Bombyx mori: one gene and its partner. The protein of the gene in region 1 purifies or fractionates together with the protein of each later gene. This does not show direct contact. Links are inferred from orthologs where the notes say so. Each region holds a gene or a part of one and is shown on either strand. Other genes may lie near its edges.

Region 1 (6,451 bases):
GTTACGATTAGTATGTATATTAGAAATCACATTGACTTAGTTATTGTTTATCGAAAATTTATCTTGCGTTGAATGGGTTTATTACGCTGTCGCATCTACAACTCAAGAAATACTATGGAAATTAGATCTCTTTATATTAAATTGCAATTAGAACGTGTGTCAGTTTACTGTATTTGATGTACATTATTAAAAGTCGATAGTTGAAAGCCGAATAATAAGTAAAAAAATAGTAATATGAAAGAAGAAAAAAAAATACATACTTGCTTTTTAATCAGCCATGGTCTTGCACGCAACTCCACTCCACGCAAATAAATTAAATAAAAAAATTAATAAACACCCTATATAATATGATAAAAGTAATAATAACACTAAATCCGTCATGTTATAATAGAGTTGTCATAATTTAACTGTAAAAATGTATAATATGTTTAATGCTGTTCGGTACGTAAAATAAATTACCCACTGTTAAAGTTTTGAGACAAGATATAAGCAAGCTTTTTTATAAAAAGTTGAGTACTACGACATACAGTATATTTAATTATCACCGAAAATAGACGAGACTGGTTTTGTCATTATTGTCTAATTAATGCAGTAGGTAGTGACTAGGCTATGTTTCTGGCATTAGCAATCGTGGCCACATAGGTGAGTCTTGTGCTCATCTGCCTACGAAAGAGAAAAAAGCGCTTGTGGCGTAATAAATAAGTCTGGTATACTCGTATCGAATGATGTGATCATAGCGCGATCTTTGTATTCGAATACTATAGTTTAAAAAACTGCTTGTCGTTGTCACTAATAAGAAGATAATATGATTTTATTGTTTCATAAAACAATAAAATTCGACCGTATAGACATTGTACTGCATGAGCAGTAGTAGCATCTGTGTTCTTTCATGTAATTGTTTAGAGGTTAGAGGCTGGACACGATTTATTATTTTTAAACATTTTCTAACAGGCACTAGTAAGTTGCTATTAAGCAGTCATTAAGCTTAGCGGTACTGGTAATGTTAAAAATCGTCGCTCTATTTGAGTAAGCTAAATAATAACGATTTTTGTGATTCGAATCTAATGAATAATTGAGTGTAATTCTCGGGCCGTATTGTACTGTTAAAAGTGCGACCTTACAACATATGTCTTGAGGTGGGTGGCGGTATTTACCTTGTAGATGTCTATGGGTTCCGGTTACCACTCCAAACCAGGTGGGCCGTGAGCTCATCTATCCATCTAACTAAACAACAATTTTTTTTAAAAAAATCGTTGCAAGACGTAGTTCGTATGTCCTATGCATTGTTAAGATTTGATAACGTCATTAGAGTAGACAATTCATTTTTGACGCTTATATAATTTTCTATGAACAATAATAAATTTTAAAATTTGCGTTGATTTCATTATATTGATACGAAATATTATAAAATTAATTAATTAAAAAAAGAAATATTATAAAATAATTCTTCAATCATCTAAGACATATATAAAAAAAAATAGAATTTTAATATTGCGTCATACTTATTGTCCGTATATTTCAGTTCAGTCGAAGTTGACCGGCGCCGCGAGGGCGGTGGTGCGCTCGTGTCGTGCGGAGATGGGCGAGATCGAGGCGTGTCCCGAGTGCTACGCGGCCGCGCATGCGCGCAAACCCACCTGGTTCACAGACGTGTGCTCCACTCCGCACATACTCTTGTGGGCTAAACTTAAAGGTATACACACAATCTGTGTTGTAATTTGTTAATAATGAAATATCTGTATGTTGGTAGGACTGGTGGTAGGACCTCTTGGGAGTCCGCACGGGTAGGTACCACCGCCCTGCCTATTTCTGCCGTGAAGCAGTAATGCCTTTCGGTTCGAAGGGTGGGGCAGCCGTTGTAACTATACTGAGACCTTAGAACTTGTATCTCGAGGTGGGTGGCGCGTTTACGTTGTAGATGTCTATGGGCTCCAGTAACCACCTAACACCAGGTGGACTGTGAGCTCGTCCACCCATTTAAGTAATAAAAAAAAAGTTCGCAAGTGCTTTTTTTTCGACCTATTCTAGTAACCTCGAGGGGTTATTCTAGATTCACCGAGCTAGTAGGTGAGCTCACGGGGCACGGAGTGTTGCTAACACTGGCCCTAGCAAGAGCAGTGCTTCGCAGAATTTACCACCGGTTAGGAAACGCGACCCACTGAGATCCGGCGAGAAACTCAGTGGGCTGTGTCCGGTGACCGGTGCTTGAGGTACCTAAAAGCACCGTTAATGGATCGGGAGGATCTGTAATGACGTGCTTAGGGCTTTGCAATCGTTGACAATCAGGGAAGACTTTTGATAGTTCCACCAACCTGCAACTGATGGCGCGCGATTAGTTTCAGCAAATGATCATTTTTTATACAACTAATCGTGCAGAGCTTGAGTTTTACTAATAAGATATAAAATTATTGGTATAGTATAATATGTCTTAGTAGTTGTATCTGTGGATTTAGTTATTGTGTGGATATAAAAGATATAATATTACTTTAGTTTTCTAAGTTAAAACTTAAAATCTTTTTCTTCTTGCCCTTATCCCACTTTGCGTGGTGTCGCTGTATAAGGATTTGTCATGAGTTTTACCACTGACCAATTGGCAGACAGAAACTCTTCTTGCCTTATATCTTCAATAATATGTACATTGTAACGTGCTATTACTGCTTCACGGCAGAAATAGGCAGGGTGGTGGTACCTACCCGTACGAAGTCACAAGACATTCTACCACCAGTAATTACGCAAAATATATTTTTGCGGCTTTGATTTTTACTATCGATATTATTCCTTAACTATGAAAGTCAAAGTCAATCGTGAACATTTGTTAAGTACGTATTTCAATAGAAAAATTGGTACCCGCCTGCGGGATTCGAACATCGGTGCATCGCTTGATACGATTGCGTCTTTTATCTTTTAGGCCACGACGACTTCAATACTTTTTATTTTTAATTATTTTTATTGCCTTTGTAGGCAGACGAGCATACGGCCCACCTGATGGTAAGTAGTTACCGTCGCCCATGGACTTCAGCAATGCCAGGAGCAGAGCCAAGCCGCTATCTACGTTATATATACTTTAATATTTTATGTGCTATTGTTACCAGGGTTTCCATATTGGCCAGCGAAAGGCATGTCGGTGAGTCCGGCCGGTCTGGTCGACGTGCGTTTCTTCGGCGCCCACGATCGAGCCTGGGTGCCGGCCAAAGACTGCTTCCTGTACTCGGAGAAGGATCCAAACAACTTTAGAACTAAGCGACAGGATATATTGGACAGCATGCAGGTTTGTGAATCGAATTCATACAGTACGTTTTGTGTTAGCAACGGCGACTTTGCCGTAGCTCGTCAATTTTTTATTGCTTAGAAGGGTGGACGAGCTCACAGCCCACCTGGTGTTAAGTGGTTACTGGAGCCCATAGACATCTACAACGTAAATGCGCCACCCACCTTAAGATATAAGTTCTAAGGTCTCAGTATAGTTACAACGGCTGTCCCACCCTTCAAACCGAAACTCGTTACCGCTTCACGGCAGAAATAAACAGGGTGGTGGTACTTACCCGTCCGGACTCACAAGATGTCCTACCACCAGTAAAAAGTGTTTCTTCTGATTTCGCTTGGAGTCCGACTGTCAATCGTAAATTGATCTAGTCTTAGAGTTATTGATAGGGCCACATTTTTTGTCAAGTGTAATACTGTCGCTACAAACACGTCTCCGTTTAAAGTTTTATAATAATATAAGTCTGCCTTTTTTTCAGGAAGCCGAAGAACACATTCGTAACATATCGAGGAAGTATGGAAAATTCGTCTACCCCCCGTTCAGAACGCAATTCGATCCTGCGAAATTAAACGAGCAAATGAGAGTGATGGTATGTACTAGGCTGTTAAATCTTGATGCGGGAGATCGAAGTCTCAGAACCGCACCCGCATCGTTTTTTTTTCCTTACTTATTTTCTGGTAGCTTAAGAGGCTATTCCAGCTACGCCCTGACGGGTAGGTGAGCTCACGGGCTCAACCTGAGAGAATTCGCTAACACTAGTCCTAGCAAGAGCAGTGCTTCACAGAATCTTACTGGTGGTAGGACCTCTTGTGAGTCCGCACGGGTAGGTACCACCATCCCGCCTATTTCTGCCGTGAAGCAGTAATGCGTTTCGGTTTGAAGGATGGGGCAGCCGTTGTAACTATATTGAAATCTTAGAACTCATATCTCAAGGTAGGTGGCGGCATTTACGTTGTAGATGTCTGTGGGCTCCAGTAACCACTTAACACCAGGTGGGCTGTGAGCTCGTCCACCCATCTAAGCTATAAAAAAATGTACAACCGGATCAGAATCGCGACTGACGGATGACAGTACTGATCTCAATACACACTAACGATAGTGATTGAGTTAAATATTCCATATTAATAATTGTTAATTAGCTCTGTCGGTTTTCAGATACCATCGTTCGAGGGTGAGATACGTGTTACGGTCAAGGATAAATCGCCGAATACAACAAAAGACAAGAGCAGGACCAATTCTAAATGCTCTAAGAACTCTACAAATGGCAGGTGACTACACTGTTTGAGCTATGTTGTAAATCTTCGCTTAGCCAATAATACCGCGCACGCCACGCAAAAAACTGGATATCTTCTAAGGATTTTGTCTGATGTGTTGCGGCTCATAAATGGCTAATACATTGCATAGTGTATTTAGTTATAGAAGATATGTAGTTTTTCCCTCTGATAACAAATTAAGCAAATTAGATTTTTGTTAAAGATAACAAAACATCGAAAACGGTAATTGCATACATAATTAATTTAGGTCACAAGTGGTCGAATAATTCGTGCAATTCTATTTATGTTCTATTAAATATTGTACTAGCGTGAACACAGAATCTAAATAAATAAATCTAGTAATTTTAACACGAAACGTTAGTCTTACAAGTAGTCAATACCAAGTAAAACTTTTTTTGATTATTATCTGTACATCTGGCATCCGAATAACCTAATCTAACCAGCTCTCGTGCTTAAGAACAGTTAAAAATATATATTTTGGTATAATAAATGATTACCGTCAATTGTGCATTGATCTAAGTTAACATAAACTCGTATTATATTTTAAATTGTGATTGTTTTGATTCGATTTACCAGTTTGATTTCTATATGCCTACTAAATATTCATTTACATTGTTAATGGCCTCCGTTAAGGTAAAAATACAATCTAGGTGACCTGGCTATACATAATGACATAGCAGAAATAATGTTTTCAGTGATATAAGCGAAGCAGAAGATCTACTGGGGCAGCCTTGTAATAAAATTAATGATAATATTAATGATTCAAAGGACGAGGTGATGGAGCAGAAGTAAATATTTTTTTTTTAGTTGCTAATAAAACAATTAGTTAAATATGTAATCAGTTAAATGCATCAAAATAAGATTTTTAATTTTATTATTTATTCATTTCGAGATATTCGGTTTCATCTGTTCAATTGATTATAACTATTATGTTGCAGTCAAAAGTTAATGGAAGTTGACGAATCTGCGGTGAAAGACACAAAAGAGACTGAAAACTCGCGGAAAAGACGGCGCTCCTGTGTTACAGACACACCGGTGCAAGACAACACAGCCAACGAGAAAAAAAAGCGAGTCGATGATGAAAAATCTGATAAAAAGATAGACACAAAAGATATGAGCAATAAAGAATTACCAAAGATCAAAAAGAAAGAACCAGAGAACGTTATTATTCCAATAGACGATGATGATTCAGTTATCTCGATCGATGAGTCAAACGATTCAGTCAAAGGTAAAGAGAAAATAGTTGAGAAAAACCGAACCGTCACTCCAATAAAAATAATATTACCTAAACATAACCGACACACTCCGAAATCTAGCGGCACCAGAGAATCTCCCAGAACTAGCACCCCCAACGATAAATCTCTTCTGGTGACGCCAAAAGATGAAAGATCCGCATCAAAACAAAAAAATAAACCAGGCAGGAGCTCCACAGAGAGACAAAGCAGGGAAAGCAAGAGTAGACATGAAAAGAGAAGGAATTCCAAAAGTAACAAATCCCTGAACGGTAGCATAAGTTCTAAAAATGAAAAAAATGACAGGATGAAAACCGATAAAAACAACGAAAACCCAAACGCTGCCAACAAAGAGAAACCCGCAAGTAAAATATCAGTTATCAAAGTTAAAGATAGCGAAGCGATAAAATTAGCAGAGAAGACTCCGCCCGCAGAGGCTGTGAAGTCGGTTAAAGATCGAACGGCCGAGGATGACGACACTAGTTTGGCGGCCATCGCCCGCGACACGGCCCGGAATGCCGACTCAGTCATAATGAGCAACCCGCCCGGCATGCCCACAATCAGCAGCGTCAGGTCCTTGTCCACACTGGCCCAGGGCACCTCAACGACGACCACAAAAACGAACACGGCATCCGCGTCGGTGGACATAACCGCGGACAGTGCGCCGGACTCGAGCGCGCTCA
Region 2 (6,451 bases), on another chromosome or scaffold:
ACCCGTCCGGACTCACAAGAGGTCCTACCACCACCTACCTTAAAAACTTTTTTTTAAAATGAACAACACTTACATTCCCTGCTCTGCTTCTATCATTTTAGAACTACGAATACGGCAAACGATAACCCCTGTTTAGTAAAGTATTTGAATATAGTTCTATACTATGTTTTCTCATTATATATTCAATATACTGATGATTTTATAATATTCAGTGCATTTAAATTTGTCTTCATATATTTTGAATATTTACGCATGAGTCTTGATTGTTACCGGTTCGGGGAGTTACTATCTTGTAATCGCGATTTGTAAAAACCGGTTTTGATGCTCTACATGAGAACTCAACATAGTTACATATTTTATATGAATAAGGAGAAGCCCAGGTTTGCGTACCAACTAAATAATGCAATGTCGCAAATACAAAAAAAAGACAATGTAGCGGATTTGTCACCCTTCTTGGACCCTCGCCTCGTACGATCGCCACACAATTTTCTATTGAAGCCATTGATTTTGGATATTACGTACGAGTTGTGTGTCAAAGAGCATATATACAAACATAAATAGGAATCATGTTAGTTATTTTATTACAAGTACTATAGAATTACTGTAGTTTTGAAAAGTTACTAATTACTATTCCGGCTTCTAAACCTATGATGTGTGTTCTCTATAGCAACTTTTACTGACTAAATTTTATAATAAACTAGCGACCCGCCCTTCGCTTCGCTTCGGAAACTGTAATTTATTATTGATTTCTACACTATTTAATGGATGTTATTATACATACCTTCCTCTTCAATCACTCTATTTATTAAAATAACCGCATCAAAATCCGTTGCGTGGTTTTAAAGATTTAAGCATATATAGGGATATAGGGACAGAGAAAGCGACTTTGTTTTATACTATGTAGTGATAGTGATTTTTATAAACGGTTTATTGAATTAGATGATGCTGTCTTACCTTCTTCCTGGTCGAGCTCACTTGATCTGTCGATATAAGTTGACGGCAGCCGTTGTAACTATACTTGAGGCCTTAGAACTTATAACTCAAGGTGGGTGGCGCATTTACGTTGTAGATGTCTATGGGCTCCTATAACCACTTAACACCAGGTGGGCTGTGAGCTCCACCCATCTAATCAATAAAAAAAACAATATAATTTTCTCTGTTACAGCGGCGATGGAGGAGGAATCTACCGAATTGCCAGGTACAGACGGCCTGGCGCCGAAGCAGCGGCACCAAGCGAAACACCGCGAGCTGTTCCTGTCCAGGCACGTGGAAACGTTGCCGGCGACGCACATTCGCGGCAAGTGCACCGTCACGCTACTCAACGAGACGGAGTCGCTGCTCAGCTATCTCAATAAGGATGTGAGTATGTACCCGGGGATACGAACGCACTGATAACAAAACTACATTAAGCATATCGCACTAGAGATCCCATTCCACGACGCCTTTCATGCGGCCAATGATCGGAGGCGCTGGCGGGACATTACAAGGAGCAAAATCCTGTCGACATATAATGGTCACGATCCTCAGCATTGAGGAAACGACGCGAGGAGGAGAAGCATATCGGGATTTTTGTTTTTAACCGTCCTCCCTTTGCCTTTTTCGAATCTAAGTTATTTATACTAATATATAAATCTACAGTGGTTTTTACGGATGTTCCGTTATAACTACTGAACCATGCATCCGATTGACTTGAAACTTGGTATCCATGTAGAAAATACATGTACTTAATGGATAGGCTAATATTTATATGAGTGTTGGACTCCCTAATAATAATGCCAATAAATAATAATGGTAATTTCTAATGCAACGGCTAGTCTCTTATAAAAACTAACCACTTGGATCCTAAAACTAAATTTGGATAACACCATAGAAATGTACAATTTAATTTTGAATTTAAATGTAAAAATAAAAATTCTAATTAAACATGGAATTAAAGATTTAATACGATTGTTTTAAGTACATACACGGTTATATTATGAAATAAAGGCTTCAATGTATTAGATAAGTTGCTTAATCGTTCCCACATAAATATAAAATACAGTAATTGGAAGTATTAAAATATTACTCTTAATGTTAATACATCTGTCTTAATTATGATAGACCTTACCCTAAGAGTGTCAATTTGTAATTAGAAAAAACCACAGATAATGTACTCAAAAGCTCATTATGTATGTGTCAAAGATTTTTTTAAATTAGTCCATTAATATTCAATACTGACCAGAATTATAATTACATGTCTTTTAAAAGTAATTAATTAGTTGCGTCTTGTAATACTCAAAGTAAGTTTTGGTCAAACAATAAAATGTTTCAAACGTTCCATTTCATTAAAGTCTGATCTTGATTATATAAAATTATATTGAAATGTATCCAATTATGAAGATTAAAGAAGATTTTAAAGTTCAAGTAACCAAAAGGAAAATCAAAATAATAAAATTGAATTTTAATTAAAAAACTTTTCTCTTTTGTTTCAGGACGCATTTTTTTATTGTTTAGTATTTGATCCTTCACAAAAGACTTTATTAGCAGATAAGGGAGAAATCAGAGTTGGAAGTAGATATCAGACTGAAGTAACTAATTTATTAAAAGAAGGTATGTCAATTCTAACAAATAAACTAAAGATTTAGAACATTTTTTTGTATTTTTTTTCCAACAGGATGATATCATAATCACTAAAAAGGTACTAAAGACCTTACAGTACTAATCTGAATAAATGTGGATTGCCCCTATATATTCAAATTATTCAATCTTTATAAATATAAAATTGTGTGTCAATGAGCTTACAATATAATTCAAACCAGAGATGATCAGAGAGAGAGAGTGTCAGTCAGATGTTATTGATAAATAACTACAACCTTCTACTAGTAGTTAGTCACATCCTTTTTTCAACGTAGTAATTCCTTTAAAATCTTTACCTACCCTTTTTCTTTAACCAACGCTCCTACTTATATTAGGTACCGGTAGCATGTTATTAGAGTTGATTGATACACCATCTATCCTGTGAGTTTAGGCCGCTAAGCAATTCTGTATTGTACACTATTATAGTGGTTGTTCTAATGTTATGAAACTTCAGTTCTACATACTTTATTCAATTAAAAGTGAAAGCAGTGGCATTGGCCACAAGATCTGAATGGTTGCTATTTTTCTATCATAAGGCACTGATAAACAGAAATATAAATACATAAAATAAGAGTTATCTGAAGAGAATATAATTTTGCCTAACCGTTATATGAGATCTTTCATAACTCAATTAATGGTGTAAATTGTGTTTTCCAGGCGAAGAGGACCCACGGATCAGTGAAGAATTAGAAACGTTGGTTTGGACACCGGAGCACGGGCTCACGGACCGACAGATAGATCAGTTCTTAGTTGTGTCGCGGTCCGTGGGCACGTTCGCACGAGCCCTCGACTGCTCCTCCAGCGTCAAGCAGCCCTCGCTGCACATGTCCGCCGCCGCCGCGAGCAGGGACATCACACTGGTAAATCATATCTTCTATCCTGCTTTATCTTGCTCTTGATAAGATCAGCGTGCAGAGAATTGACTGTGCGTGTGGCATTGCGATGTCAAACAGTCTTGTAGTTTAATTCAACCAAGTTCACATACCTTACATGTATATATAACTTGGGAACATTGTATTATTAAGAACTAGTCGATAGGTTAAGTTTGAAAATGAGGGTAGGTACATCTTGCAAATAGAAAGTTTGTACTGATTTTTACACCGTCTGGTATTTTACAATAATCATGGACAATGCTAAAACATGACACTTGAATCAATGTATTGCGTTGTATAAAAATACTTCGGTCTTAATATGCCAATATCAAATCAAATATTCTTGCCTCGGAATTCGTATTATGACGATTAAAAGGTTAGGAGTGTTTAAAGGTATATCCTATCTATGGATAGAAGAAAAATAAATATTGGGTATTATTATAACTACAACAAATTAAATATAATTTATTTTTAATAATACGTGGTTATTTATGATAATATGTGAATTATAGCTAATTGTATAAAGAATATCGATTTCTTAAAACTACTCTCGTACCACCTTGTCGCATGTACAAGGTTTTAAAACAAAATGATTTCTGAACTGTACCTATATAACGCATATTAATGGTGACAAACTTAGACTAATTATTTCATTATTAAATGATTTAAACGAAAATGGAAATACCAACATATTTTTTATTTATTTATTTTTTATTGCGTAGATAGGTGGACGAGCTCACAGCCCGCCTGGTGTTAAGTGGTTACTGGAGCCCATAGACGTCCACAACGTAAATCTCGCCACCCACCTTGAGATATGAGTTCTAAGGTCTCAGTATAGTTACAACGGCTGCCCCACCCTTCAAACCGAAACGCATTGCTGCTTGGCGCATAAGTTGTGTCTCTAGCTAGAAACTAACTAAAACGATGATAATGTGTTTGCAGTTCCACGCGATGGACACCCTCCACAAGTCTGGCTACAGCATAGAGTCGGCGCTGTCGTCGCTGGTGCCGGCGTCGGGCCCCGTGCTGTGCCGCGATGAGATGGAGGAGTGGTCCGCCTCCGAGGCCAACCTGTTCGAGGAGGCACTCGACAAATACGGAAAGGACTTCGCTGATATACGACAGGACTTTGTTAGTATTGCACCTTATAACCTATTGCATTAAGGCTCATTGTTATTCTGCAATAACTTCTTTGCCAATTCATTCATTGAACGTTAAAAGGAAAATTCGATGGTATTTCGAATTTAAAAACAATATTAAAATATATAATAGGGTGTTGGTACATCCAAACTATCTTTTGAAAATTCTAAAATGAAATTAACGAAATGAGCGCGATCTGATATTTTTTAAATGGTATTTTATGACCTGGTATCTAAGACCTTTAAGTCATGTCTTATTTTAATTTATATTCTTATTTTTATGAAAAATGATAATATGGAGTGAAAGGAAATGCAATGAAACGAACATGATTAATTTGAGACATTAATCAACTGGAATGAAATTAATGAGATGAGATGATATGGGATGAAATATAAAATGGTGGTCATTTCAGTAGACTTTGTGGAGGATCCCGAGAAGTTACGTCCAGCGCCTTTGTTTCATTTTCCCACATTTGTGCACTTTCACAGAAAGTAAACAGTTAATAAACCACCGTTATTACACATTTAAACCTGAAGAAACACTAAATAGACAAATTAAAACAAATCACATGACTTCACTCCTCGCGCCAACAAATCCACGGCGCGAACTGAAAACGTAAAAATGCCATAGATTAAAAATTGATTGCGATATATATAACATAAATACATAGGTGCATAATTATTCAATGAAATACAACAGTGCACTAAGTTCGAGAATTACAAACGAAGACAAACGATCTTGCGATCCACACTACCATGAATGAGTGTGAAGAATCATACTGCATTAGTATCTACTGAATTCTCATACTTTGAACTTTACATGATAAGACTTCTGTAGTACATACTTTTCTTCATCAGTACCTTAATAACAATGGTTTCCTTTCTTCTCCAAATTTTAAAATCAATGTATTAACTATAATAGTAGTATTATTATCAAAATTATATTTCTTCAATGTAAGCTCTTTAGTTTTTCGTTTCGTCACAGTTACCATGGAAAACGTTAAAGAATTTAGTGGAGTACTACTACATGTGGAAGACGACGGATCGCTACGTACAACAGAAACGCGTGAAAGCGGTCGAAGCTGAGTCAAAACTGAAACAAGTGTACATTCCCAACTAGTGAGTGTTTGTACCGACAAACTATACTTCTTTATTATTATTATTATTTTTGCTTAAATATATAATACAACTAATTCCTGGGTTCCTCTTCTTCTTATCAGCCCAAAGACGTCCACTGCTGGACATTGGCCTCCCCCAAGCCTCGCCACAAAGACTGGTCCTGCGCTGCCTATTTAATCTAATAATAACTATTTCCTGAGTTATTGTTTCATAAATATTATTATATGTTGCACATTATTGATACTAAAATATCTATATAAAACTAAAATTGATTTGTTACAAACTATGTTAATGAATCTTGAAAGTCGATCTTAACCCAGTTTTGTTGATTTGTATGTGTGAAGGTCACATTATAAAGTCCAGTTTAGTTTAAGAATTAATTAAACTGAGAGTTTTTCGTTCGGAGTTAAAATTTGCTGTTAGATAATGAGAATGAATTTTATTTTCAACAATGCCGAATTGGAGACATAACAAATTCTAAATTCTAGTTATATATTTTCAGTAACAAACCGAATCCGGCGTTAATTACGAACAACAGCAGTGGTAGCAAAAGCGGTGTCCTAAACGGAGGCACAAACGGCACGCCCGCGCCGCAACTCTGTGCATCATGTCAAGGTAAATTATGCTCTAAAACAATAACGACTAAATATAATTTAGGAGTATTTTCGTTTATCCATAAAAAAATTAAGATTAAATTAATTGTTA

The links.
Region 2: the proteins of MYND-type zinc finger-containing chromatin reader ZMYND8 (region 1) and metastasis-associated protein MTA3 purify together in Homo sapiens (affinity purification with mass spectrometry; 3 studies listed by BioGRID and IntAct, with this or other methods). This does not show direct contact. The link is inferred for Bombyx mori from reciprocal best matches to the Homo sapiens genes ZMYND8 and MTA1.

Annotation. Positions count from the first base shown.
Region 1 is NC_085121.1:12,325,077-12,331,527, forward strand, and holds part of MYND-type zinc finger-containing chromatin reader ZMYND8, read left to right. Parts: intron 1-1,522; coding exon 1,523-1,693; intron 1,694-3,092; coding exon 3,093-3,268; intron 3,269-3,740; coding exon 3,741-3,851; intron 3,852-4,417; coding exon 4,418-4,530; intron 4,531-5,231; coding exon 5,232-5,324; intron 5,325-5,474; coding exon 5,475-6,451. UniProt on the Homo sapiens protein: Chromatin reader that recognizes dual histone modifications such as histone H3.1 dimethylated at 'Lys-36' and histone H4 acetylated at 'Lys-16' (H3.1K36me2-H4K16ac) and histone H3 methylated at 'Lys-4' and histone H4 acetylated at 'Lys-14' (H3K4me1-H3K14ac).
Region 2 is NC_085131.1:3,859,954-3,866,404, forward strand, and holds part of metastasis-associated protein MTA3, read left to right. Parts: intron 1-1,165; coding exon 1,166-1,359; intron 1,360-2,471; coding exon 2,472-2,589; intron 2,590-3,273; coding exon 3,274-3,476; intron 3,477-4,430; coding exon 4,431-4,619; intron 4,620-5,612; coding exon 5,613-5,746; intron 5,747-6,248; coding exon 6,249-6,361; intron 6,362-6,451. UniProt on the Homo sapiens protein: Transcriptional coregulator which can act as both a transcriptional corepressor and coactivator. Acts as a component of the histone deacetylase NuRD complex which participates in the remodeling of chromatin.